2 linked regions of the Saccharomyces cerevisiae S288C genome follow. The protein of the gene in region 1 interacts with the protein of each later gene in a biochemical or structural test. Each region holds a gene or a part of one and is shown on either strand. Other genes may lie near its edges. The genes, in order: TRX3 and TRR1.

Region 1 (3,196 bases):
GTTATTGATGTTGCAAGGTCATAGGAATTCAGTTATATCTGTGGCTGTGGCAAACGGGTCTCCGCTGGGTCCAGAATATAACGTTTTTGCTACTGGTAGCGGTGATTGTAAAGCAAGGATTTGGAAGTATAAAAAAATAGCGCCAAATTAAGAACAGAACACAAAAGGAACACTTTACAAATGTAACTAACTAAACTATTCTTCAATTCATTGTCATTATATCTTTCTCTCTATTCTTTTTTATCTACTTATTTGTTATGTTATGATCCAGGTACGCTTTAAAACAAACAGTTACTTTCCTCACCATTCATCCCTTCCCCTCCTTTTCCTGTGTTTCTGAATATTGCGGTTCATTATTCTTTGATATGAATTTATTTGTGTATTGTATAAGCTTACTTTCCTTTTATATGTATATGTATATATATATATATATATACTATCTTTTTTCTTATATTTAAAACTAAAAAAAAAAAAACTACATGTGCTCATGAATATAAAATTTATAGATCTTTGATTCCCTTCTCTAAAGCAGTAGGGTTAGCTCCAATGATCTTGCCGATGAGTTGGCCATCCTTGCCAAGAACAAAGGTGGGCATAGCCGTCACTTCACACTCTTTGGCAATATCTGGTGATTCGTCCACGTCGCACTTGACAAATCTTACATCTGGATAAGCCTGAATTAATTTCGTTAAGTGTGGTTGCATCATCTTACAGGGGCCACACCAAGTAGCATAAAAATCGATGACTAGTTTATCATTTTGCTTGATCAAATTCCTAAATTCTGTTAGGTTCGTCAATTTAGTAATACTGGTGTATGAGGACTGGAATCTTATGCTTTTTAGCGGTCTCACCGCCATCCTCATCACAGGCTTATAGAACAACATAACAGCTTTGGTTTCTCTATGTACTAACCAATCCTGCTTTCTTTGGTTAGGGGGCTAGCTCATTTTATATCTCATCGGGGCAATTTTTTCCATCACAGAATACTAGGCAACAAAATCTGCAGAAGCACAATCCACATTTGGAATTAAAAGATAGTGAAAAATGTACATGAACCCCAACCAGTAACTTAAACATAATATTTTGGGTCACTATATCTAGGGCGTTGTTCTTCTTTGTGATTTATGCAATATACGCATATATGTATATATATATAAATATATGTTTAAAAATGTCCATAGCCGCTATTTGATCATAATAAGCCATCTTCATACAAAGCCAACAATTGATCGTTCTCTGCTATATAAGCGTTGATATCTAGGGCAAACTTGTCCCAGTCTATCTGGGGAATGTCGTCGTTGCTAATCCATTTTTGCTTTTGAAATCCGTTCTCTACAGTGAAAATTTCTCGCAGTAAATCCCTATTCTCCGCCAATACATCAACAAATTCCTGGTAATTCTTGGTATTTTGAATTTTGTGGAAAAGAGAACACAGATTCTTGACAAAAGATTCTCTTTCGTTAATAAGCGTCTCTAGCTGTGTTCTTCGTTGTTGCAGTACGATGTAATCGAGATCTTGATGCAGGTCAGTTTTTTGAAACTTGGCCACAGCATCGTGCGTTCCCTTTGGGGTGATCATTCCAGTTTAAATAGACTGGTACACGCTAGTACTGATCTTGTAAGCGGATGAGCACTTTGTCTTAATCCTCCTTAACCATCGCTCATAAACCCCAGTTTTATAATCGGTGGCAAACATGTCATTTGGTACGGTATCATTTAGAGGAATCAATTGGTTGGGTATTAAAACTGACACATAATTACTGTTATTGGTAAATTTATAATTTATCCATTTGGATATATTCTGAGATCAATGTGGATTTTTCCTCTCAAACCGAGCATCAAAAAGACTCAGGTTTACACAGGAATCGTTAAACGCAGTCGTATCATTACTGCCTGTAGCCATGTCATCTGTGTACTTGGTATTATAGTTGGAGATGAAGTGGTACGGCTCCATGGAAAATGTGCAGACATATTTATGATCTTTCTTGTCATAAATGAGCCATTTCTGTTCGTTTTCGTGCGCTATTTCAACTATGCCGATTCCTAAATTTAAACTAAACGATTCTTCTTGGTCTGCATCTTCTTCTTCCCCGTAGTCGCCACTATGAAGTTTTGTTTCCTTAACGAAAGAGGACACTTGGAATGGTGGTAAGTTCAGCAATTTCTTCGGTAGTTCGACCTTACCGCTTGTGTGGAATGCTGGGGCATCAATTGTGGATGAATAGATGGCGAATGATTTCAATGAAGACAAAATTTCGTACAAGAACAGCTTCAATCTTAAATTAAATGATATTTTATCAAACAGCTTGCATATGCTATCAATGAATGGACTTGTGGGTTTATCAGCTGATAAATCAGCGATGATGCGTTGGAAAATGGAATCCTGATGAAAGCTAAAAATTTTCAAGACGGCATCTATTTGGATTTCTCTCTTAGATAAATTTCCTTCGTTCAGTTCACTTAATTGTCTTATGATCTTTATTAGTAAATGATAGTTCTCCATGGAAATAACTATCATACCAGAAGTTTCTCTTTGAAACCTCATCGATAATGACGTTATAATCTCGATCACCACAACGATGTAATTATCATCTATCTTTTGGTTGTTGTTTTGCAAACAAGAAGTGCAGAAATCTTTCTCCACTATTTGGGTTATCATCTCAATGGTCTGCATATCCTTCAGTTGGTCAAATATTTGTGAACATAAATCATTAGAATTAGTTATTTCGATAATTTGGAATATGAAGTTCTTCAAGTCTTCCATTGCCATTGCTGGCTCATTATTCTCCATGATTTTTTTGATGCAGAAACAGGTAAACGCTTGGAAAACCCAAAGATTGGCAAAGTCCATCATAACGTAATATTCTACATGATCAATTTCGTCGACTGTGTGATCATCATCGTCACTTTTATCATCGTTGGTTACAACAGTGTCATTGTCTGGTTGTCCACTACCCAATGGAATATCGTTAAGATCGGTTTCCGACGGACAAGTTGAGTAGTACAAAATATCCTCCAAAATATTAGATGAGTTTTCCACGCTATCATTCAATAACAACATAATGATTTTTGTAGATGTTGCAAGTAATTTGGGAGATGACCCATAAGTTATTAAAATTTTCAATAGGATCTCATAATAATTTATTTCACATTCGTTGCCATGATATTTTTTTTCTAATTCATAACATGTAAGTAA
Region 2 (3,317 bases), on another chromosome or scaffold:
ATTTCTTGGTGTAAGATAGCAAAGTCGCCTCGGACATGATAAGGGAATACTAAGTTTTCTTGTGATTATTGCAGTTTAAATTCACTTAGTTGTCAGTAGCTGTAATATCAGATGCTTTATTATAAAGTTTTCCAGAAGAATGAATGCAACAGAGTTTATGTTTACTGAATTGTCTGGTCATGAATCATTTTTTAGAGAGTCAATCTGCGTAGGTTTTTTTTTCCTTTTGGCAAAGACGACAAGAAAAATGCAGGTGGGGAAGCGCAGCAATAATATTAGTCATAACTTAATAGTCGGTGTATAGGCAACCACGCGTTACAAAGTAAGCCGATGGCCTATGTCATGTGTCTAAAAAGTTTAATTCAGACACGCAATATATGTAGATTATGTATTGGCTTTCTCTAATAATGGGGAAAAGAAATAAAATTCATGGTTTGCTTTTTATTAAAGAAAAGGAGAAAGTAACGATTTGTTGGATAAGTATACAAAAATTTGAGTGTATCTATTTTATAATGGAAAATTCATCTATTCTAGGGAAGTTAAGTATTTCTCAGCATCCAAAGCGGCCATACAACCAGAGCCAGCAGAAGTAATAGCTTGTCTGTATTTAGAATCCTGAACATCACCAGCAGCGAAAAATCCTGGAACGGAGGTTAATGAGCTGCCTGGGACAGTTTTAATGTAGCCCGCTTCATCAGTGTCGACTTGGCCAGCGACAATCTTTGTTGCTGGAGTGTGGCCAATTGCATAAAATAAACCGCTGACTGGCAAATCGGTTTCTTCATTCTTTTTAGTGTTCTTAATCCTCAAGGCATTCAATAATTTACCATCCCCCTTAGCTTCTAGCGCAACAGTGTTGTAAAGGATTTCAATTTTTTCGTTCTTCTCAGCACGCTTTTGCATAATGGTAGAAGCACGCAAATGGTCTTTTCTGACAAGCATAAACACTTTTGAGCCGTACTTGGTCAAGAACTGAGCTTCTTCACATGCAGAGTCACCACCACCAATGACGGCCAATGGCTTGTTTCTGAAAATGGGGACGGCACCATCACACACGGCACAGGCAGAAATACCTTTTTGCCAGTAGGTTTCCTCGCCCGGCAAATGCATTCTCTTAGCAGAAGCGCCTGTGGCCAAGATTATAGCGTCAGTCGTCACAGGTTCTGCGTCTTCGTTAAATTCGGTCCATAGCTTGAATGGTTTGGAAGACAGATCAACTTTGGAAACTGTTTCCGTGATAATTTCAGTGCCAAACTTCGTGGATTGTTCTCTCATTCTGTCCATCAGTTCGCTACCTGTTAGACCATCTGGGAAACCTGGGAAGTTTTCGATTTCTGTAGTGGTGGTTAGCTGGCCACCGGCAGCAATACCGTTCGCCATCATACCTTCATATAGGATTGGCTTGATTTCTGCCCTGGCCAAATAGATGGCGGCGGTGTGTGCAGCTGGACCTGAACCAATGATAGTAACTTTGTTGTGAACCATTATTGATAATATGATGTTTACTTTCGTACTGTTCGCTATTTGCTGTATAGCACTTGTAGGCAAGTATAACTGAACTACAGAAATTAATCTACAAGCTCTTGAAACCTCGAGCAGTTGGGTCCACTCTTATACGCGTGGGCATTTTTTCCTTTTTCGAGATACTTGCGGGCGATTTTTTTTCTCCATGACTAAGGAGAAGCTAACCCAGCCAAAACCCGCCCCCAAATGGCTAGGCAAAGTGAAAGATTATTAATCCAGAACAGAATGAAACACTTACTGCCGTACTGTATACTGAAGCGTTCACAGTGAATACATAATAACTTTCATTATTAATATTAGTGTGACAAACTATATGTGTTTGTAGCTGTTGCGAATGCAAACAAGACATAGACGGTTTTACGTAAAACTGGCGCTAACTATAGTTGGGTACTTTTACACAGAGTACGAACGTAGTATTCCTATTGGGAAAAAAGGGTCTCGCAAGGACTATCCCAAGAGCAGAGTGCATTGTTTAAATATAAATGGTAGTACTCCGTAGGGAAAACTATGTTTGCGTTTCACCAGACAACAGTGATGTACGTTCTGTCACTAGTTGCGCTGCACTGTCTTCTTCAGGACTGTATAGTTCTCTTTCCAGTTCACGTAGTTGCATATCAGTTGCATAAAGGATATAGTATTGGTAGAAGTATATCAAATCAAACGCAATTGTTCCAGCACTTCCAAATATAAAGGGCAACTCATTCACGATGAATTCCCTCTTGTTCTGATTATCTAAAAATCTACAGCTTGTGAAGATGCTCAAATTATACGTGATATTGCAGAGTAGTGTAGTAGCAAATAGGAAGGGAGATAAGCCGTCTGTAGACTTTCTATTGTAATTCTTGATTAGTTGTGGGATACGTGCGCCTACGTAGAAGGAAGCGCCAATCCAAGATAAAATTGTACCCAGCTGGCTGTTTTTACCATCTCCGGGAGGCCCCACTTGTGATTGGGTGGAGCCTACATTTAGCGGATATGCGCTAGCTGTACTTATAGTATGAGCTATAGCCAAGGCTGCTGTAATGGCAGACCTTCTTCTACTGCTTCTAGGGCTTTCTGCACTGCTACCACCTTGTATCATGTCCTCTTCCTCCCTCAAAAGCTCACCATTTTCAACCAGTTCGGGAAGAAGAGGTTTAGGCTCATGGCCGACAGTCGCCAATTTATTTTCATGCAGCACGCCATAGTAATAATATTGACCACATACAAAAGAATCATTCAATAGAAAATAAATTGCTAAAAGTATCTGAAATAACAATTGCCCTGTTAGCTTTGCCCCTATCAGCGAGGTAATATCCCCACATAACCAAGCCAGCAAAAAATATGGCGATAGCCCATCGACAGATTTATCTCGATAAGTCTCAATTATTTGTGGAAACAATGAAATAACAGAGGTGAAGAAGGATAATGATCCGCACAAATTAGATACAGTAGGCCAGATGCCGTTTGAGCACGACATGAAAAGATTCTTATTTTCACTTTATAATTTTTAGCACCGATAACAACGAACCTTATCGATTGATATCAATAGATACTGGCTTAAGGTAATGAAAAGATTGCTTCTTTATTTGTCTTTGTTGGAGACGAATATTAATGCCTGCAAAAAGTACTTGACGTTTATGTGCACGTTTACGTTTGTTTTTTTTTGATCCCTCCTCAAGCGAAGAGATATACTAAAAGATATACTTAGTGATAACACTGGTACCTATTGTCACTACAAATCACTGAGCGAAATCTTTTTTCTTCGCGAACAATTTCTTCCATGCTGCGAAATTTTGCAGCACGTAAGTGAA

What was found.
Region 2: of the proteins of TRX3 (region 1) and TRR1, one has a biochemical effect on the other in vitro, tested with the Saccharomyces cerevisiae proteins (one study listed by BioGRID).

What each region holds. Positions count from the first base shown.
Region 1 is NC_001135.5:257,266-260,461, reverse strand, and holds TRX3 (Trx3p), read right to left. Parts: upstream 885-3,196; coding exon 501-884; downstream 1-500. Other genes in the region: chromatin-silencing transcriptional regulator TUP1, read left to right, coding at 1-151; AHC2 (Ahc2p), read right to left, coding at 1,193-1,579; SRB8 (Srb8p), read right to left, coding at 1,808-3,196.
Region 2 is NC_001136.10:1,181,467-1,184,783, reverse strand, and holds TRR1 (thioredoxin-disulfide reductase TRR1), read right to left. Parts: upstream 1,486-3,317; coding exon 526-1,485; downstream 1-525. Other genes in the region: TRP4 (anthranilate phosphoribosyltransferase), read right to left, coding at 1-37; YPQ2 (Ypq2p), read right to left, coding at 2,030-2,983. UniProt on the Saccharomyces cerevisiae protein: Central component in the thioredoxin system. Reduces thioredoxins 1 and 2.